Anolis sagrei: one gene and its partners. The protein of the gene in region 2 purifies or fractionates together with the protein of the main gene of each other region. This does not show direct contact. Links are inferred from orthologs where the notes say so. Each region holds a gene or a part of one and is shown on either strand. Other genes may lie near its edges.

Region 1 (7,290 bases), about 120 Mb from region 2:
TACTGTAATATGTATTATGATGTTTTATTGATTGTATGTGATATTATGGTTGGAAACCGGTCTAAGTCCCTCAAGAGAGGTGAGAAGGTCGGTATACAAAACTTTTAAATAAATAAATAATAGTAGGTGCTCTTCCTGACAGTTGTCACTCAGGCCCCTTCTACATTGCCAGATAATCCAGATTATCAAAGTGGATAATCCACATTATCTGATTTGATCTGGATTATATGAAACTACACTGCCAGATGATCCATTTCAAAGCAGATAACCTGGATTGTATATATTAGTGTAGAAGGGGCCTCAGGCCCTGTCTACACTGCCATATAATCCAGTGTGAACTGCATTATAATGGTCAGTGTACTCAATGTATTAGAATCTGTATTTTAATTGTATTGTGTTTTTAATCTGTGTTCCAACTATGTTGCACCCTGCCTCAAACTGTGAGGAAAGGCAAGTAACATGCTATTATTGTTATTGTATTACTAGTTTGGGTATGCAGTGATGCCCAGTGTTATTTGAAAAAGACATGGCTTGTTTTTGAATGTTAGATAGTGTTCGTTTGGTAATTTGTAACTCTATTTCTTTTTAGGAAGAAGTCAGTGTTTTCTTTTGTTTTTTAGGAATTCTCTCATTAAAAATGCATAATAATGTGAGTGAACTATAATTCCCAAAAATTGTGGGTCAATCACCCCAAACCCTGCCAGTATGCAAAGTTTGCCACATTGGGTCTGCGTGCCAAGTCTGGTCAAGATTCGTTGTCAGCAGGGTTCAGTGCTCTCCAACTTTAAATTATAACTCCCGGATTCCAGATCAATCACTTGCAAACCCCACACCACTATTCAAAGTGGGCCATACTGGATCTGTGTGTCAAGTTTGGTCCAGATCCATAGTCAGCTGGGTTCAGGGGGCTCTCTGGATACAAGGTACAACTCACTCCCAGGTGGGTCAGTCCTCCTCCCAACCCCTCCATTATGTTCTGATGGTCATCAGGGTTCTGTGTGCCAAGTTTGGCCCAGATCCATCAGAGTACTCTCTGGATGCAGTGTGAACTACAATTCCCACTCCAGTGGGTCAGTCCCTTAATCCCTCCAATATATTCAGTTAGCCATCGGGGTTCTATGTGCCAAGTATGGTCCGAATCTGCCATTGGTGGGCTTCAGAATGCTCTCTGGATGCAGAGTGAACTACAACTCCCGCTCTGGCAGGTCAGTCCCCCCACCCCCACCCCACACCTCCAGTATGTTCTGTTAGTCATGGGGGTTCTGTGTGCCAAGTTTGGTCTAGATCTGCCATTGGTGGGCTTCAGAGTGCTCTCTGGATAGAGGGTAAACTACAACTCCTATCCTGGTTGGGCGGTCCCCATAAACCCCTCCAGTACATTTGAACTGTGGTGTTGGAGGAAATTTTTGAGAGTGCCTTGGACCACGAGAAGATCCAACCAGTCCATCCTCCAGGAAATAAAGCCCAACTGCTCATTGAAGGGAAGGATAGTAGAGGCAAAGATGAAGTACTTTGGCCACATCATGAGAAGACAGGAAAGCTTAGAAAAGAAAATGATGCTGGGGAAAATGGAAGGAAAAAGGAAGAAGGGCCAACCAAGGAGAAGATGGATGGCATCCTTGAAGTGATTGGCTTTACTCTGAAGGAGCTGGGGGTGGTGACGGCCAACAGGGAGCTCTGGCGTGGAATGGTCCATGAGGTCATGAAGAGTCGGAAGCAACTGGACGAATAAACAATAACAACACGTTCCATTAATCATCAGGGTTCTGTGTGCCAAGTCTACTCCAGATCCATCATTGGTGGGGGTCGTAGGTTCGAATCCAGGGAGAGTGCGGATGAGCTCCCTCTGTCAGCTCCAGCTCCCCACGCGGGACATGAGAGAAGCCTCCCACAAGGATGGTAAAACTGCAAAACATCCCCTGGGCAACGTCCTTGCAAACAGTCAATTCTCTCACACCAGAAGCGACTTGCAGTTTCTCAAATCGCTGACACAAAAAAATGGTGGGGGTCACAGTGGTCTTTGGAAGTGGGAGCCAATAGGAAAGCTGCTGCAAACTTACATCTACTATTATTATATAGATACTAGCGGTCCCCTGCCACACGATGCTGTGGCCCAGTCTGGTGATCTGGAAAATAAAGTAATGAGAAAGTGTTGGTTTCTAATATATGTAATGTCTTTATGCTTGTGGGTAAACAGTATTTCTTGCTATTTCTTTGCCAGTGTTGATGTGGAGATTGTCTGGTTTGCCTACTCTGGGACATTCAACATATAATTGTCCTTCTTTAGGGGTCCCTTTCAAATCTATGTTACTGCATCTGTCATATACATGTGTGTGTGTGTGTGTGTGTGTGTGAATGGCTGGATGGCCTTTTGTCAAGAGAACTTTCATTATGTTTGTTGCCCTGATTAAGGGAGTTGGACTGGATGGCCTTAAGGCAGCATTTCTCAACCTGGGAAGTCAAGACCCCGGGGGGAGGAGGTCACCAGGGGGTATCAGAACAGTCACCGAAGACCACTAAAAACACACACAGTATTTTCTGTTGGTCATGGGGGTTCTGTGAGGGATGTTTGGCCCAATTCCATCATTGGTGTGGTTCAGAATGCTCTTTGATTGTAGGTGAACTATACATCCTAGTAACTACAACTCCCAAATGTCAAGGGCTATTTCCCCCAAACTCCATCTGTGTTCACATTTGGGCATATTGATTATTCCTGTCAAGTTTAGTCCAGATCCATCATTGAGTCCACAGTGTTCTCTGGATGGAGGTGAATTACAATTCCAAAATTCAAGGTCAATGCCCACCAAACCCTTTCAGTAATTTCTGATGGTCATGGGAGTCCTGTGTGCCAACTTTGATTCAATTCTATCGTTGGTGGAGTTCAGAATGCTCTTTGATTGTAGGTGAACTATAAATCCCAGCAACTACAACTCCCAAATGACAAAATTATATTTTTTTGTGATGGTGACTCCTTGTGTAGTGAGACATTTTGTTGCCAAATTTTGTGTGATTTCGTTCATTGGTTCTTTTGTTTTTAATGTACTCATTATGCACAGAGCATTTTTATATATATAGCAGTACGTGTGAAAAAGATCTTGGAGTCCTTATGGACAACAAGTTAAACATGAGTCAACAATAAGATGTGGTGGCAAAAAAAGCCAATGGGATTTTGGCCTGCATCAATAGGAGCATAGTGTCTAAATCTAGGGAAGTCATGCTACCCCTCTATTCCGCCTTGGTTAGACCACACCTGGAATATTGTGTCCAATTCTGGGCACCACAATTGAAGAGAGAGATTGACAAGATGGAATGTGTCCAGAGGAGAGCTACTAAAATGATAAAGGGTCTGGAGAACAAGCCCTATGAGGAACGGCTTAAGGAGCTGGGCATGTTTAGCCTGAAGAAGAGAAGGCTGAGAGGAGACATGATAGCCATGTATAAATATGTGAGAGGAAGCCACAGGGAGGAGGGAGCAAGCTTGTTTTCTGCTTCCCTGGAGACTAGGATGCGAAACAATGGCTTCAAACTACAAGAGATTCCATCTGAACATTAGGAAGAACTTCCTGACTGTGAGAGCCGTTCAGCAGTGGAACTCTCTGCCCCGGCGTGTGGTGGGGTTTCCTTCTTTGGAAGCTTTTAAACAGAGGCTGGATGGCCCTCTGTCAGGGGTGATCTGAATGCAATATTCCTGCTTCTTGGCAGGGGGTTGGACTGGATGGCCCATGAGGTCTCTTCCAACTCTTTGATTCTATGAAGATAAAGATTGAGATTAATGCATTTATTGTTATTATTATGTGCCTCTTCTCCGCCCATTTTACTGAGTGCTTCCCAATATTCCTGGCAGAATGGGATCTAGAAACACAACAGAGCGACCCAAAGCTGCCACCATCCTTCTCCACCCTCTTCCTGTTCGACTGAAAGAGTGAAAGGGAAATGGCAAGCTTTAGGCTTCATTTGAAATCTCGCGATAGGTTTGGAACCCTCTTTTCCGCCCTCTCGGCTCTCGCGAGATGTACCCTCCTCGTCTCGCGAGAGCAGCGGCCTGCTTCAGAGGAGTTTGGTGCGCTTTCCCCAGCGGATCTTGAGAGACCCCGTCGCGATGTTTTTGCGTCATCGTTTTCCACAGTTTGAAGTCTGAAGTCTCCCCGCTTTCTGGAAACACGCAAGTCTTCTTACTTGTGTTTAAAAAGCAGCTTTCTTTCCCTCCCGGGATACGAATCAAATAATGTTCTGCAGAGCAAACGTCTTGAGTAGCTGCTTGGCTTCCAGATATTGACAGGATGGAAGGTCATTCTTTGTTCTCAAGGGAAATGTTTCCTTTCTCAGCAGAGTTCGCTTTTAAACGGTAAGATTTCAGACTGTTAAGGTTCGTTGGTATTTTTATTATTATTTTAATGAATTAAATGCTATTTCACTTTTTTTTACTGTTTTAAATCGTTTTAAAAGAATGTTTTTGTCTCTTTTGCATTGGCTAGGGAGACCTAGAATTCTGACAGGTGATAAATTTTATCTATTTGTTTATTTATTTATTTATCAATTTTATATACCACCACTCCCCGAAGGCTCAGAGCGGTTTACAATATACATATGCAATACATTACATTTAAAATCAAAGAAAAATTTCAGTCAACAAGATTCAAATGCCAGCCTAAATAAATATGTTTTACAAGCTCTACAAAAAGATAGTAAGTCTCGTAGAGCTTGTGTTTCTGCTGGCAAGGCATTCCACAGGTAAGGAGCCACCACCGTGAATGCTCTACACCTAGTGGACATCAGGTGAAAGGTCCAAAAATTGGGAACTTCGAGGAAGTTCTGATCGTCTGAACGGAGTGATCTCGGGTGTTGGTAGGGGGTGAGGCGGTCCATCAGATATTCCGTCCCCAGGCCATATAAGGCCTTAAAAGTAAGAATCAGCACTTTGAAGGTAATCCGGTGCTCAATCGGCAACCAGTGCAGTTGCTGCAAGATTGTAGTGCAGAAGGTGTATTTTCGAAGGCTTTCATGGCTGGAATCACTGCATAGTTGTAGGTTTTTCAGGCTGTATGGCCATATTCTAGAGGCATTCTCTCCTGACGTTTCGCCTGCATCTACAGCAAGCACCCTCAGAGGTTGTGAGGTGCCATATAGCCCAAAAAACCTACAACAACCCAATTGTGGAAGGCTTTCATGGCTGGAATCACTGGGTTGTTGTAGGTTTTTCAGGCTGTATGGCCATATTCCAGAGGCATTCTCTCCTGATGTTTCGCCTGCATCTATGGCAAGCATCCTCAGAGGTTGTGAGGTGCCATATAGCCCGAAAAACCTACAACAACCCAATTGTGGAAGGCTTTAATGGCTGGAATCACTGGGTTGTTGTAGGTTTTTCGGGCTGTATGGCCATATTCTAGAGGCATTCTCTCCTGACATTTCACCTGCATCTATGGCAAGCATCTTCAGAGGTTGTGAGGTGCCATATAGCCCAAAAAACCTACAACAACCCAATTGTGGAAGGCTTTCATGGCTGGAAGCACTGGGTTGTTGTAGGTTTTTCAGGCTGTATGGCCATGTTCTAGAAGCATTCTCTCCTGACGTTTCACGTGCATCTATGACAAGCATCTCAAAGGTTGTGAGGTGCCATATAGTCCGAAAAACCTACAACAACCCAATTGTGGAAGGCTTTCATGGCCAGAATCACTGGATTGTTGTAGGTTTTTCTGGGCTGCAAGGCCATGTTCCAGAAGCATTCTCTCCTGACGTTTCGCTTGCATCTATGGCAATCATCTTCAGAGGTTGTGAGGTGCCATATAGCCCAAAAAACCTACAACAACCCAATTGTGGAAGGCTTTCATGGCCGGAATCACTGGGTTGTTGTGAGTTTTCCGGGCTGCAAGGCCATGTTCCAGAAGCATTCTCTCCTGACGTTTCGCCTGCATCTAAAGAACTAAAGACATGGATGTTCCACTGTACATTCAGCCATATAGTTCCCCCAAAAATTCTGGTTCCCAGTTTGATCCATAATTAGATTTTGCTCATTTCACTGTGCTCTTTTAGAGACATAGTGCTTTCCTTACATCCCCCCCCCCCCCCCCGGGTCCTAATCTTGTCATCTGCCATTAACACTTTAACCATCAACCCTGTCCTTTGGCAACTGATTTACACCAGCCACCACTGAAACTCGGATCCATGCACTACTCAAACCTTTGAAGGTTGTTAAATATTCGCTATGTATTGTATTCTGTGGTTGTTTTATATTGTTGAAATGTTTTATGAATTTTTTTGTTATAATTTATTTTAACTATTTGTAATCTTGGGCTTGTCCCCATGTAAGCCACCCCGAGTCTCCGCAGGGAGATGGAGGCAGAGTACAAAAATTAAGTTGTTATTATTATTATTATTATTATTATTATTATTTTAAACACAGCAAGATGAGTCCACAGCAGCCAAAATCACTCTGCTGGCTGTTATATTGTATCACACGTCGGACACTTCCCAAGTGTGTAGGACTGTGTGATGTATCGGTGAATAATGCGTGCAAATCCCAGTAAGGTGGCCTTTTGCAGCTGGCAGATGGTAATTTTGTCGGCACCGATTGTGCTTAAGTGCAGGCCAAAGTCTTTAGGCACTGCACCCAGTGTGCCGATAACTCTTTGACAACTTGGCCTTATGTAAGAACATGACTGCTTTTTAATGTATTTTTATGTATTATGTGATGTGATGTTTTTAAACTACTGTTCATGAATCTTGTTGTAAACCGGCCTGAGTCCCTCTCCGGAGGTGAGAAGACCGGTATATAAAAGTTCTAAATAAATAAATTCTAAACCACTGGGACCACCTTTACTGGCCTGTGCCAGAGTCTTTGCAGTTCAGTCTTTAAATCCTCATATCATGTCATTTCCAGTTGTTTCTCTTCAATCCTGCTGTCGCCTGGGATTGCAACATTGACGATCCATACTTTGTTTTTTAACACGATCGTGAGGTTAGGACTACTGTGCTCCAAAACTCTGTCAGTCTAAATTCGGAAGACCCAGAGTAGTTTGATATCTTCATTTTCTGTAACTTTTTCAGCTTGTGATCCCACCAGTACTTTGTCGCAGGCAGATGGTATTTGTGGCACAAGTTTCAATTATTCATTTGAGCAATCGTGTTATGCCTCTGCTTGTAGTCTGTCTGCGCAATCTTCTTGCAGCAGCTGAGGATGGGATCTATTGTTTCATCTGCTTCCTTGCAGAGTCTACATTTGGGATATGTCATCGACTTTTCAGTTCTGGTTTTGATGGCATTTGTTGTAATGGCTTGTTCTTGGGCTGCCAG
Region 2 (7,694 bases):
ATCTACACTGACCAGTTAATGCAGTTTCAAACCAGTATTGAAGAAAGTGGTTTTGCTGTGCAGGCAATTACATAGGAAATCCTGGAACCAGTTTGAGGCCCAGATGATATGCAAAGCACAGAGCACTGATACACATCATGGGCTTTCTTTCGCATGCTTCTGTGTGTGTTTGTTGCCTGGCCATTGGCCGTCACAGTTTGAAGCTAGCTTCAAAATGCATTAATCGGTCAGTATAAATGGAGCGTGAATCAACCTGTCTGGGATCACGCAGTTTTGGAGCCAAGCAACCCAGCAAGGAAGAGCCAGCTTTTGAGTATTGGACTCTAAAGGTGCATCTTAACTGCAGAATTCATGCTGTTTGACACCACTTTAATTGCTGTAGCTCAATGTTGTGGAATCATGGGAGTTGTAATTTTACAGAGAACATCAGAAAGAGCCCTTTCAGTGGCTGCTGCCAGACTAACATTCTTAGCCACTTTAGCTACCATGCCTCAATGCAATAGAATGATAGGACTTGTTTGTTTTATGAGGCACCATCACTCTTTGGCAGAGAAGGTTGAAGACCTGGCACTGAATTAAAATGATGTCAAATTGCCTTAAATCTACAGTTGAAGGTGCAACCAAGGTCTTTAGCCTTCTCTATCAAAGAGTGTTGGTGCCCATAAAACTACAACTCCTAGGATCCCACAACATTGAGACAGGGCACCTCAAATTGGGCCAAACCACATTAATTGTATACTGTAGGCAGTCTGGACTCTCTCCCATTAAAGAAAGAAAGCATAGAGTCCAGGTCAGATGAAGATGGAGAGAAAAAGGAAAAAGAAGAGAAAATGTGTAAAAAGAAGATGAAAAGAAGAGGCAAGGAAGTACAAGAAGAAAAAGAAGAGAAGGAAGGAGAAGATAGAGAGAAAAAGGAAAAAGAAAAAAAATGTGTAAAAAAGAAGACAAAAAGAAGAAGCAAGGAAGTACAAGAAGAAAAAGAAGAGATGTGAAAGAGGAGAAAGGAGAAGAAGAAAACAGTGAGGAGGAAGAAAAAGAGAAGATGGAGAAAACAAGGAGAGAAGAAAATAGGAGTAGAAATAAGAAAAGATGGCAAGGAAGTAGGAAGAGAGGGAAGAGAAAGAGGATGAAGGAGAAGGAAAAGAAGAGGGTGGTGAGGAGGAAAAAGTCACAAGGAAGAACAAGGAGAGGAAGAAAAGGAGAAAGAAAGATGGAGGTTAAGAGGAGAAAGAAGTGAAAAGGAAGGGAAAGAAGGGAAAGATGAAGGCTAAGAGGAGAATAAGAGAAAACAGAAGAAAAGAGAGAAGAGGATGAGGAAGTGAAAAAGAAGAACAAGGGCAGGAAGACGAAGGTGAAGAGGAGGAGATGAAGGAGAAAGAAGAGGAGGAAGAAGAAGGAAGAGAATGGTGAGGAGGAAAAGGAAGAACAAGAAGGAAAGGAAGAGAAGGACTGAGAGAGAGAAATGAGGGTGATGGGGAGGAAGAGGGAGATGAGGATGAAGTGAAGAGGAAAGGGAAGGAGAAGAGGAGGTAGAGGAAGAAGTGAAAAGGAAGGAAAAGAAAAGATGAAGAGGAGAAAGAAGAGAAAACTAAAGAGGAAGGAGAAGAGGAAATAAGAGGTGAAAAGGAAGGAAAAGAGGAAGTGAAGTGGAAAGGGAAGGAGTGAAAAGGGGTGGAAAAGAGGAAGATGAAGGTGAAGAGGAGGAAGAAGTAAAGAAGAGAAAAGGAAGGAAATGAGGAGAAAGTGAGGAGGAAAGGGAAGGAAGTGAAAAGGAAGGAAAAGAAGAGACAGGTGAAGAGGTAAAGAGGAGAAGAGAAAACAGAAAAAGAAGAAGAGAAGGAAGGAAGAAGTGGAAATAAAGGAAAAGAGGAAGGGAAGAAGACAAAGGATCAGAAACTGAATAGGAAGGAAAAGAAGAGAAAGGTGAAGAGGAGAAAACAGAAAAGGGAGAAGAGGAGGAGGAACGAAGAAGTGAAAAGAAAGGAAAAGAGGAGGAAGGGAAGAAGAAGGAGCCGGAACTGAAAAGGAAGGAAAAGAAGAGAAAGGTGAAGAGGAGAAAACAGAAAAAGCAGAGGAGGAGGAGGAAGAAGTTAAAAAGAAAGGAAAAGAGGAGGAAGGGAAGAAGAAGAAGGAACTGAAAAGGAAGGAAAAGAAGAGAAAGATGAAGAGAAGGAGAAAGAAGAGGAAGGAGAAGGAAGAAGAGGAGGAATAAGAAGAAGCTGAAGAAGGGCAAGAGAGAGAAGAGGAGGATTTCGGGAGAGCCCCGGAAGGCTGGGCTGGGGCTCTTCCTCCGCCTCCCTCCTGCCATTGTCTCCTCGTCCCACGCGGGGAACGGCGAAGAAGGGAGAAGGGCGGAAGAGGGAGGCAGAAGCGCCCTCCTCCTCACTCGCTCTCTCTCTCGGGCTCCCCCCCCCTCCCTCTCTTACCGCTCCTTCTTCGGCGCCTCCTCCTCCTCCTCCTGGCGGCCCCTCCACAACTGCCTCCGCGGCGCTCTCGGTGCCGGACCCGGCAGTGGCGGCGGCGGGAGGGATCTCGCTCCCCGCCTCGTTCTCAGCCATGTCCCGGCGGCGGTTGGCGCGGCCTTGTTCCCTTCCGAAGGAGGAGCCCCCCTCGCCTCCTCCCGCGCGGTCCCGGCCGTCAGGCTCCTTCTTTCTTGTTCTTCTTCTGCTTCTTCTCCTCCTCTCGCCGGCTTCTCTCAGCGCTCAGTCCCACCAACCAGGAACCCCCTTAGCCGGCTCCCGAGTCTCGCGAGACTACGCTTCCAAAGAGAGAGAGAGAGTGAGCGCGTGCTGCTCCTCTTTGCCTTCGCCCGACGCTTGCTTTCCTGCTTGCTTCGATCCGATTGGGTAGAACGGGAGAAGCCAAAAAAAGGGAGGGGGGAGAGAGAAAGAGAGAAAGAGAGAGATGCCTGCTGGCTTGCTTCAATCCGATTGGATGACGAGAGAGAAGCCAAGAGGGGATGCCTGCCGGTTTGACTGGTCCCTCCGCGCGCGTATTTGGGAGAGAACGGGGGGCGGGGCTAAAGAGAGAGAGAGAGTCCGCGCGCGCGCGAACGAGCGCTGGTGGGTGGAGTCAGGATAAAGGGAGTGACGTCACTGAGTGGGCGAAAGGGGCGGGGCCTGTCTTCTCGCGCGTTCTGAAAGGAGAAGAAAGCAGGTGAGGAAAAGAACACCCAACTTCGGCCCTGCAGGTGTTGAGGACTACAACTCCCACAATTCCTAACAGCCTTCCCAACAGTTGAAACATTTACACCTAGCTCCAACAGACAAGAGTTCTTTGTCCCACCCTGGTCATTCCACAGATATATAAACCCACTAGCCGTTCCCAGGCACGCGTTGCTGTGGCCCACATGGGGGTTCTGTGTGGGTGGTTTGGCCTAATTCTATCGTTGGTGGGGTTCAGAATGGTCTGTGATTATAGGTGAACTATACATCCCAGCAACTACAACTCCCAAATGTCAAGATTCTATTTTCCCCAAAATCCACCAGTGTTCACATTTGGGCATATTGAGTATTTGTGTAGAGTTTGGTTCAGATCCATCATTGTTTGAGTCCACAGTGATCTCTGGATTTAGGTGAACTACAACTCCAAAACCTAAGGACACTGCCCACCAAACCCTTCCAGTATTTTCTGTTGGTCATGGGAGAACTGTGTGCCAAGTTTGGTCCAATTCTATTGTCGGTGGGGTTCAGAATGCTCTTTGATTGTAAGTGAACTATATTTCCCAGCAACTACAACTCCTAATCAAGGTGAAAGAAGAAAGCGCAAAAGCCGGGTTGCAGCTAAACGTCAAAAAAACCAAGATTATGGCAACAAGAATGATTGACAACTGGAAAATAGAGGGAGAAACCGTGGAGGCTGTGACAGACTTTGTATTTCTAGGTGCAAAGATTACTGCAGATGCAGACTGTGGCCAGGAAATCAGAAGACGCTTACTTCTTGGGAGGAGAGCAATGTCCAATCTCGATAAAATAGTGAAGAGTAGAGACATCAGACTGGCAACAAAGATCCGCCTAGTCAAAGCCATGGTATTCCCTGTAGTCACCTACGGATGTGAGAGCTGGACCTTAGGGAAGGCTGAGCGAAGGAAGATCGATGCTTTTGAGCTGTGGTGTTGGAGGAAAGTGCTGAGAGTGCCTTGGACTGCGAGAAAATCCAACCAGTCCATCCTCCAGGAAATAAAGCCTGACTGCTCACTGGAGGGAAAGATACTAGAGACAAAGTTGAAGTACTTTGGCCACATCATGAGGAGACAGGAAAGCCTAGAGAAGACAATGATGCTGGGGAAAGTGGAAGGCAAAAGGAAGAGGGGCCGACCAAGGGCAAGATGGATGGATGGCATCCTTGAAGTGACTGGACTGACCTTGAGGGAGCTGGGGGTGGTAACGGCCGACAGGGAGCTCTGGCGTGGGCTGGTCCATGAGGTCACGAAGAGTCGGAGACGACTGAACGAATGAACAACAACAACACAACTCCCAAATGACAAAATCTATTCTTTTTTTTTAGTGAAGGACATACATTGGGTTGTTAGGTGTCTTGTGTCCAAATTTGGTGTCAATTCGTCCTGTGGTTTTTGAGTTCTGTTAATATCACAAACAAACATTACATTTTTATTTATATAGATTTTCCTAGTTCCAACAGACCTCACTACCTCTGAGAATGCTTGCCATAGATGCAGGCGAAACGTCAGGAGAGAATGCTTCTAGAACATGGCCATATAGCCCGAAAAAAACCTACAACAACCCAGCCTTCCTAACAGTTTGAAAAACAGACTTCTGTACTCAAATTGTTTCAAGGCTTTTTTTGTGTCAGGAGTGACTTGAGAAACTATAAATCGCTTCTGGTGTGAGAGGATTGACCGTCTGCAAGGACGTTGCCCAGGGGACGCCCGGATGTTTTGATGTTTTACCATCCTTGTGGGAGGCTTCTCTCATGTCCCTGCATGGGGAGCTGGAGCTGACAGAGGGAGCTCCTCCATGCTCTCCCCGTATTCGAACCACCGACTTGTCAGTCTTCAGTCCTGCTGGCACAAGGGTTTAACCCATGGCACCCCCGGGGGCTCCTGTCTCATGGTCTAACTGCCTTCTGACTATATAATACTAATATTGTGATGTGCTCAGGCATGTAGCCGGGGGGGGGGGGGGACTTGAGGGGCTTCTCCCCCCCCCCCCGGCGAAATTCTCATCGTGGTCCACAAGAAGGCCTTACTGGTACATTATTTAAACTGTTATGTTTATTCATATCATGATCTGATCAACATGCTCAATATATCCCGTATGCATGGGGGTATTGGGGTAATGATACAAAAGGTTTGCTAGGGTAGACCCTCTTTCACTCAGACTCAGCCCCCCCCCCCGAATCAAACTCACCCCCCCCCAACCCAAATCCTGGCTACGGGCCTGGCAGAGCTAATATTATAATATATTGTATGCACATATAATATTGATAATATTATAATGTAATACAATATAATAGTACTAATATAATTTTATATTTCATGTTACATGTTATATTACTAATAATATTACAGTATAGTGGTATAGTTCAGTATAGTGTAATGTATAATACTAATATTGTGCTATGCTAATAATATAATATATTGTATGTACATATAACTTGTAAGCTGCTCTGAGTCCCCTTTGGGATGAGAAGGGCAGCATGTAAATGTCATAAATAAATAAATACACTAGCTTTTCTATTCTAACTGACATAAGCCTCAACTGTCTTCTAACTGCCTACACTGGCTTCTGTATTCTAATTGACTCAAGCCTCCACACTCATTCCTCAACTGTCATCATGTTTTAATATGCATTCTCTACTGTCACTGATCTGCAGCCCCTCCCACTGCCTCAAGTATATAGAGCTAAGGAAACTGAAAACCAAAGAAGGCATACACTTTAAGAAATAAAATGACACATTATAAACAAACATAACTTTACATAGAGTAGGCTTGAGAAGGTTGCTATCGCCAACAAAGTAAGCTGCTTTGAGTCTCCTTTGGGACAGATAAAGCATGGTATAAATAAACCTAATAATAAGAGAGCACTACCAGACCTCTGGTTGAGAATTATTTTGTATCCAGGCTCTGCTAATCCATGTTAGCCCAGTTATCATCACTGGCCACAAAAACAACTCACACAATGTTATGAATGATAGTTGGCATCTGTAGATCCATGTGAATTGTTTTATGTTCAGATTTTATATAGTTTTTGTTTACGATTGCTATAATCTATTGATATTAGGTTCTAATTGTTTTTATATGTGAGGTTTTTCGGGGGTTATGATGTTGGTACTTGTTTTATGGAGGCATTGAATGTTTGTCACTGCATATTGGAATCCACCTTGAGTCCCTCTGGGAAGATTGGGTGGGATATAAAGATTGTTTATTATTATTGTTATAATAATAATAATAATAATAATAATGAATTACTTTTTGTTGACCTGCAAGAAGAGATTAGAAAGCTAAACAGACTAGGCCGACTTTGAAATAGTTCAAAACCCCCAGAATTTAGAACAGTTTGTGAAAAGTAACTCATTGTTTGTACATCCTTTAGCATTTTTAAACTTCATACATAGTTTTAAAATGGAGTGCTATAATTTTCCTGACCTGTGGAGCAAAACATACCTAACACGCCTCCTTTAGTTAGAGCAGTGAGTAAAAAGACTAATAATGCAAAAGAAGTGAAGTTATCCTCATTACATTATACTTGTAGAATAACTTAGTTGCTGCACAAGTTGAATTCATTGCAAATACCTTCTTCTTTGTAACCAGTTATCTGTGTTCTTGTATTGGAATGGGTTGAGCAGAGTGTGTCTGATCTCAAAATCTCCTGGAATCTCTCCATGATAAAAGAACAGTCCAATGCCAAGAGGCAGTTACTGAAGTTTGAAATGTGTATTCTAAAGTGGATATAATATAGGCAACATAATCTTCAAAGGTTTTTGGGTCATTCCGTACCAAGTAGTCTAAACTTTCCCACCATCATGTCTCCAATTTTGTTCAAATTTTAGCTGTAGTGGCAGTCAGGTGTTAAACTAAGTTTCCCAAAATGTGAGGTTTCTAACTGCAATAGCTGCTGATCTCAACCCCCTTATCTGAACGATAGTGACCTGAGTAAATGGATTTTTTGGTTGTGTCAGGAGCAACTTGAGAAACTGCAAGCCACTTCTGGTGTGAGAGAATTGGCCGTCTGCAAGGACATTGCCCAGGGGACACCCAGATGTTTTGATTTGTTACCATCATTGTGGTAGGCTTCTTTCATGTTCCCGCATGGGGAGCTGGAGCTGACAGAGGGAGCTCATCCATGCTCTCCCCGGATTCGAACCTGCCATCTGTCGGTTTTCAGTCCTGCCTGCACAGGCGTTTAATCCACTGCACTACTGGGGGCTCCAGTAAATGGGTCAAAGCATATTATATCTTGTATGCAAGGTGTATTGCGTTTCTCCATGATGGCTGAGCCATTACTGGTTATCACATTGAAACCAGCATCCCCATCACTATAGGGGGCATGTTGATAGCCATGCAGTAACAGCCAGAGCAGGTATCTTTACTGCAGGATATCAAGCCTGATTGCAGGTTTCTTTACTGCATGATCTCAACTCGGTTTATTCAGTTACTTCATCATTCTGAAAGCATCATTGATCTGCAAGAGAATGGTTTCAGGGCAATTATATTGCTGACCAGATGATGTCAC
Region 3 (7,105 bases), about 130 Mb from region 2:
CACCTGGAGGACTCAAGTTTGCCCATGTCTGGTCTATATGCATGCTGATTTAAATTTTCTGAAGAAAGAATAAAGCACAAATTATTGCCTTAAAGCTTAAAAAAAAAACAAGACAAGACAAGAATACCTCAAACCCAAGAATTAAAGAGGGAAAAAAGAAAAGTGAAATTCTAAGAATTCATTCTATCAAACTGTCAAATTTGTGTCAGGTTTCAAATCTGATTTAGTGCCGTGTGGATTCAGAACAGATGCATGTGTACTACAACAAATAGTATGAAAAGGAAATTGCTTCCAAAACAGGAACATGAATTAATCCTAAATTGGTAGTTGCAACTCAAAAGGATCAAAGTAACTTTTCCCCACAAGACAAAAAAGTAAGAACACCCATAGATCAACGAGACTGATTGATAAATGGCAAATAGAGGAAGAAAACGTGGAGGCAGTGACAGACTTTGTATTTCTAGGCGCAGAGATTACTAAGATTACTGCAGACGCAGACTGCAGCCAGGAAATCAGAAGACGTTTACTTCTTGATAAAATAGTGAAGAGAAGAGACATCACACTGGCAATGAAGATTCGCATAGTTTTAGCAATGGTATTCCCCATAGCAACCTATGGATGTGAGAGTGGACCATAAGGAAAACTGAGTGAAGGAAGATAGATGCTTTTGAACTGTGATGTCGGAGGAAAGTTCTGAGAGTGCCTTTGACCGCGAGAAGATCAAACCAGTCCATACTCGGGGAAATAATGCCTGGCTGCTCACTGGAGGGAAAGATATTAGAGGCAAAGATGAAGTACTTTGGCCACATAAGGAGAAGACAAGAAAGCTTGAAGAAGATAATGCTGCTGCGGGAAATGGGAGAAAAAAGAAAAAGGGGCCGACCAAGGGCAAGATGGCTGGACGGTATCCTTAAAGTGACTGGCTTGATCTTGAAGAAGCTAGGGGTGATGATGATTGACAGGGAGCTGTGGCGTGGGCTGGTCCATGAGATCACGAAGAGTCAGAAGTGACTGAACAAATAAACAACAACCCATACATTTTATTTCCTGTCTCTACCAACTGCTACAATCCAATATAGCATCGAATATATTTATTCTGGTGGCACAGCAGGTTGAACCACTGAGTTTGCTGACCGAAAGGTTGGTGGTTCAAATCTAGGGAACAGGGTGAGCTCCCACTGTTAGACCCAGCTTCTACCAACCTAGCAGTTCAAAATCATGCAAATGTGATTTAGATCAATAGCTACCGCTTCTGCGGGAAGGTAATGGTGCTCCATGCAGTCATGCTGGCCACATGACCTTTGAGGTGTCTATGGACAATGTCGGCTCTTCGGTCTAGAAATGGAAATAAGAATCACCCCCTAGAGTCGGACCCAACCAGACTTCATGCCAGGGTAAACCTTTACTTATTTATCTTATTTATTTACGATATTTATATCCCACCTTTCTCTACCTGAAGAGGACTTGAGGCAGCTTACAAAGAGGCAAAATTTCAATGCCTTAACCTCAGTATACAATTTTGGTCGTGTCAGGAGCGACCTGAGAAACTGCAAGTCACTTCTGGTGTGAGAGAATTGGCCGTCTGCAAGGGCGTTGCCCAGGAGCCGCCTGGATGATTTTTGATGTTTTATCATCCTTGTGGGAGGCTTCTCTCATGTCCCCGCATGAGGAGCTGGATCTGATAGAGGGAGCTCATCCGCCTCTCCCCGGATTCGAACCTGCGACCTGTCGGTCTTCAGTCCTGCCGGCACAGGGGTTTAACCCACTGTGTTATTTTTATTGTTCATTCGTTCAGTCATTTTCGACTCTTCATGACTTCCTAGACAAGTCCATGCCAGAGCTCCCTGTTGGCCGTCACCACCCCCAGCTCCTTCAAGGTCAGTCCAGTCACTTCAAGGATGCCATCCATCCATCTTGCCCTTGGTCGGCCCCTCTTCCTTTTGCCTTCCACTTTCCCCAGCATCATTGTCTTCTCTAGGCTTTGCTGCCTCCTCATGATGTGGCCAAAGTACTTCAACTTTGTCTCTAGTATCCTTCCCTCCAATGAGCAGTCGGGCTTTATTTCCTGGAGGATGGACTGGTTGGATCCTCTCGCAGTCCAAGGCACTCTCAGAACTTTCCTCCAACACCACAGCTCAAAAGCATCAATCTTCCTTCGCTCAGCCTTAATTTATATTTTATTAAAATATAAATTAAAATATATTTAAATTAAAAATCAATATTAAATACAAACATTATAAACATTATAATCATTATAAACCACGCAATTCGCAATCATAGTCCAGATCATGTTTACATCCATTTGAAGTTTTATAAATATGCCCTTAAAGATCCTAGTAAAGCTCAGAAGTTAATTAGAAACCAAAGCCATAAACACCCACTACTCTAATCTACTGCTCAAAAGAGAAAGCGCTGTAAAAGAACAAATCGGTCTACACACGCCATTGAAGCAGAGTGTTTGAGGACCGGGACATCCGTAGGGATACCAAGGTGCTTGTCTATAAAGCTACTGTCCTCCCAACCCTGCTCTATGCCTGCAAAATGTGGACTGTCTACAGATGTCACATGCAACTCCTGGAACGATTCCATCAGCGCTGCCTCCGGAAAATCCTGCAAATCTCTTGGGAAGACAAGCGGACAAACGCCAGCATGCTGGAAGAAGCAAAGACCACCAGCATTGAAGCGATGCACCTCCGCCATCAACTCCGCTGGGCCGGCCATGTTGTCCGGATGCCTGACCACCGTCTCCCAAAGCAGTTGCTCTACTCTGAACTTAAGAATGGAAAACGGAATGTTGCTGGACAGGAAAAGAGATTGAAAGATGGCCTCAAAGCCAACCTTAAAAACTCTGGCATAGACACTGAGAACTGGGAAGCCCTGGCTCTTGAGCGCTCCAGCTGGAGGTCAGCTGTGACCAGCAGTGCTGCAGAATTCGAGGAGGCACGAGTGGAGGGTGAAAGAGAGAAACGTGCAAGGAGGAAGGACCGCCTTCCACCTGGAAACCAATGCCTCCACTGCGGGAGAAGATGCGGGTCAAGAATAGGGCTCCACAGCCACCTACAAACCCACAAAAATAGTCATCAAGGAAGACCATCTTACTCGTCCAACGAGGGATCGCCTAAGTAAGTAAGTAAGCATGTTTACATTCATTTGAAGTTTTATAAAGATGCCCTTAAAGATCCTAGTAGAGCTCAGAAGTCAATTAGAAACCAAAGCCATAAACACAGACTACTCTAATCTCCTGCTCACAAGAAGAGAAAACGCTGTAAAAGAACAAATCGGTCTACACACGCCATTAAACCGAAACAGTCCCAACAGTTCCTCCCCAATTAACTGAGGCGCCTGAGACGCCGTTGAGCTACCCAAAAGAGCAAGCCCCTCCCCCTCCAGCCCCCTTCTCCTATGAGGAAAGGCCCACTTTTTTCCCCTTCAGCCAACGAGAGCGCGCGCCTCGGTCGCCCCGCCCACTTTGAGCGACCCGATTGGCTACCGGCGAGAAGAAAAGGCGGGGCAAAGCTGTTGTTATGATAAAGAGCGGGCCCCGCCCACGCCTCGTGCGCTGAAAACTCGCTCCTCCTCCTTTTCCACCTTCCTTTGCCTCGCGCTGCCTTTTAACGGCTTTTAAACCAGGCCACGCCCCCTTTGGAAAAAAGAAAGAAAGTTCCTCCCTTTAGGCTCCGCCCACGTTCCCAAAGAGAGTTGGAACTTGAGAAGAAGCTCGGAGGGAAGCCCCGCCCCCTCGAGGGGGGGCCAGACTGAGAAGGACCTCAAGCTCGGAGGGGAAGCCACGCCCCCTTGAGGGAAGCCACGCCCCCTTTGCCCTTGAGGGGAGCCAGACTGAGAAGATCCTCAAGCTCGGAGGGAAAGCCACGCCCCCTTGAGGGAAGCCACGCCCCCTTTGCCCTTGAGGGGAGCCAGACTGAGAAGATCCTCAAGCTCCGAGGGGAAGCCACGCCCCCTTAAGGGAAGCCACGCCCCCTTTGCCCTTGAGGGGAGCCAGACTGAGAAGAACCTCAAGCTCGGAGGGAAGCCACGCCCCCTCGAGCGAGACCACGCCCCCTTTGCCCTCGCGCCTTGTGTGTGTGCGCGTGTGTGTCCTCGCGCTCTCTCTCTCCTCCTGAGTGCCCCTCCCCCTTCCTTCCCCTCAGTCCGGAGCCCATCTGTTTCTGTGGCGGAGGGTCTGTCTGTCGGAGGGCATTGTCGGGCGGGAGATGGGTACGCGAGGCGGCGGAGGAAGAGGCAGCTGAGGGGAAAAGAGAGGGAGAAAAAGGGCGATGTGCCCCGAAGAGGACGGGGGCTGCGGAGGAGCCTCGCCGGCACTGGACTCTGCCTCTTCGGCCGGCAACGGAGGCCCCGAAGGGACAACATTGGCCGCGGGGCTCCTGAGCGAGCTGCGCTCCTGGTGGGAAGTGCCGGCCATCGCTCACTTCTGCTCCCTCTTCAGGACCGCCTTCCGACTCCCCGACTTCGAGATCGAGGTGAGTTGGGCGCAGGGGGCCCATCTACTCCCATGGCTTGTTGACCCTAACATCTAGGTCAGGCCAATTTGGGCCCTCCCTCCCTCTAAGCCTTTTGGACTCCAACTCCCACCATTCCTAACAGCTTCAGGCCCCTTCCTTTTCCCCCTCAGCCGCTTAAGCGGCTGAGGGGGAAAAGGAAAGGGCCTGAGGCTGTTAGGAATGGTGGGAGTTGGAGTCCAAAAGGCTTAAAGGGAGGGAGGGCCCAAATTGGCCCAATACACCGACTTTGAGAGTTCATACAAGAGTTTGGAAGTGACCACCCACTCCAACCCACTTGCATACAGGGAACGGACACAAACTGACCCTCCCCATCCAGAAACCTCCCGTGAAGTTTCCCCAACGCACTGGAAGTTTAGCAATAGTATTGTCGAAGGCTTTCATGGGTTGTTGTAGGTTTTTTCGGGCTGTATGGCCATGGTCTAGAGAGGCATTCTCTCCTGACGTTTCGCCTGCATCTATGGCAAGCATGGATGGAGGATGATGAACACCGATTTTAGTGTGACGACTGATCATTGTATTTATTGAATGTAATCGCTGTTTTAATGTTTTAGTGCATTATTGTAATATGAATTATGATGTTTTATTGACTGTATGTGATATTATGGTTGGAAACCAGTCTGAGTCCCTCAAGAGAGGTGAGAAGGTCGATATTACAAAACTTTTAAATAAATAAATAAAATAAGCATCTTTAGCAATAGTATTTCCAGGCCATTTGAATCCTAGTCTCCAATGCAGCAGAAAAACAAGCTTGCCCGTCTTCCCCCACCACCTCCCCTCTCCTCAATATGGGACCTCCTTTGAGAAATCCTGGAAGCCCGGATGGTGGTGAGGGCACAAAACCACTCGAGCCCAGATGGAGCACGAGCGAAGGAAGGAAGGGCTGGCTTTTTGCGCGCTTTTGCGGGAGTTTGTTGTCGGGTTGGACTGCGTTATTAAATGGCCGGGATTGACTGGTGTTCTTCCCTTGTGAACGCGAGGGAAAGAGCCTCTAATGTGTGTATCCCTTTAAAGATGAGTGTGTGTGTGTATCCCCCTTTCCCTCACCCCATGGGTGTGTATGTATAATAATAATAATAATAATAATAATAATCCCCCTTTCCCTCACCCCTAAGGGTGTGTGTGTATAATAATAATAATAATAATCCCCTTTTCCCTCACCCCTAAGGGTGTGTGTATAATAATAATAATAATAATAATAATAATACCAACAACAACTTTATTTATAATTTGCTCTATCTCCCGAAAGGGACTCAGGGCGGATTCCAAGCATAAAAGGCAAAAATTCAATGCCCGAATACAACAACAATACATCCATGCTGACAAAATGTATACAACCCAACATATAAATACAAATTTTAACTTTTGGCCGGGATCGTCTGGTGTTCTTCCCTTGTGAAGGCGAGGGAAAGAACCTCTAATGTGGTATCCCTTTAAAGATGTGTGTGTGTGTGTATCCCCCTTTCCCTCACCCCTAAGGGTGTGTGTGTATAATAATAATAATAATAGTAATAATAATAATAACTTTATTTATATTCTGCTCTATCTCCCGAAAGGGACTCAGGGCAGATTCCAAACATAAAAGGCAAACATTCAATGCCCAAATACAACCATACATCCATGCCAACAAAATTTATACAACCCAACATATAAATCTGAATTTTAACTTAACAAACTAAAATTTTGTAAACTAAAATTTCGGAGGGAAGAATAGTAGAGGGAGGCCAAGATGAAGTACTTTGGCCACGTCATGAGAAGAAAGGAAAGCTTAGAGAAGGCAGTGATGGTGGGGAAAATGGAAGGAAAAAGGAAGAGGGGCAACCAAGGGCAAGATGGATGGATGGCATCCTTGAAGTGACTGGATTGACCTTGAAGGTGCTGGGAGTGGTGACGGCCGACAGGGAGCTTTGGCCTGGGCTGGTCCATGAGATCACGAAGAGTCGGAAACAACTGAACAAATGAACAACAACAATCTAAAATTAAATTAAAAAAAACACAGGCTGTTATAACAGACATAAGACAAAACACCCAACATCAAATGGAAATGTTGATTTCCCATTTCTTTGGGGCAAATCAATATAATCATTGCTCAAGATATCCATTGAGCTGGTGAGGTATATGTACATATCTCCCGTTCTCCCCATTTTAATTTTGGATTTCGATTTCCCCCGGTGGTGGTGGGATATTGACTGAGGGCCCTTCCATACAACCCTAAGCCCTATATCCCAGGATATCAAGGCAGGAAATCCCACATTATCTGAGTGTCGACTCAGATAACCCAGTTCAAAGAAGATATTGTGGGACATTCTGCCTTGATTTTCTGGGATATAGGGCTGTGTGGAAGGGCCCTTAGTCTCTAGTTCCTTGAGGGATGCAGGTTTTTTTTTGTGGGGGGGAAGCGCCCACCATATGCGTGCGACACAATCGCAGTCGTGTGAATCTGCCATCCCATGTAAATCCCCATTGAATTTGTCGAGGCAGGTCTTGAGCTCGCATTCAGCGCCAGCAACGGCTGAGAAATGCTGGCTCTCTTCTTCCCATCCTTTTAGAGATTGGTGTGAATCGTTTTGGGTCTGGGAGCCTTTACA

The links. Proteins that work in one complex are often made in the same cells at the same time.
Region 1: the proteins of SMARCA5 (region 2) and HMGXB4 purify together in Homo sapiens (affinity purification with mass spectrometry; 3 studies listed by BioGRID and IntAct, with this or other methods). This does not show direct contact. The link is inferred for Anolis sagrei from reciprocal best matches to the Homo sapiens genes SMARCA5 and HMGXB4.
Region 3: the proteins of SMARCA5 (region 2) and CECR2 purify together in Homo sapiens (affinity purification with mass spectrometry; 3 studies listed by BioGRID and IntAct, with this or other methods). This does not show direct contact. The link is inferred for Anolis sagrei from reciprocal best matches to the Homo sapiens genes SMARCA5 and CECR2.

The regions. Positions count from the first base shown.
Region 1 is NC_090025.1:167,423,413-167,430,702, reverse strand, and holds the start of HMGXB4 (HMG domain-containing protein 4), read left to right. Parts: upstream 1-4,257; 5' UTR 4,258-4,345; intron 4,346-7,290. UniProt on the Homo sapiens protein: Negatively regulates Wnt/beta-catenin signaling during development.
Region 2 is NC_090025.1:46,574,740-46,582,433, reverse strand, and holds the start of SMARCA5 (SWI/SNF-related matrix-associated actin-dependent regulator of chromatin subfamily A member 5), read right to left. Parts: upstream 3,025-7,694; 5' UTR 2,559-3,024; coding exon 2,427-2,558; intron 1-2,426. UniProt on the Homo sapiens protein: ATPase that possesses intrinsic ATP-dependent nucleosome-remodeling activity.
Region 3 is NC_090025.1:179,982,176-179,989,280, forward strand, and holds the start of CECR2 (chromatin remodeling regulator CECR2), read left to right. Parts: upstream 1-4,072; 5' UTR 4,073-4,274; coding exon 4,275-4,478; intron 4,479-7,105. UniProt on the Homo sapiens protein: Regulatory subunit of the ATP-dependent CERF-1 and CERF-5 ISWI chromatin remodeling complexes, which form ordered nucleosome arrays on chromatin and facilitate access to DNA during DNA-templated processes such as DNA replication, transcription, and repair.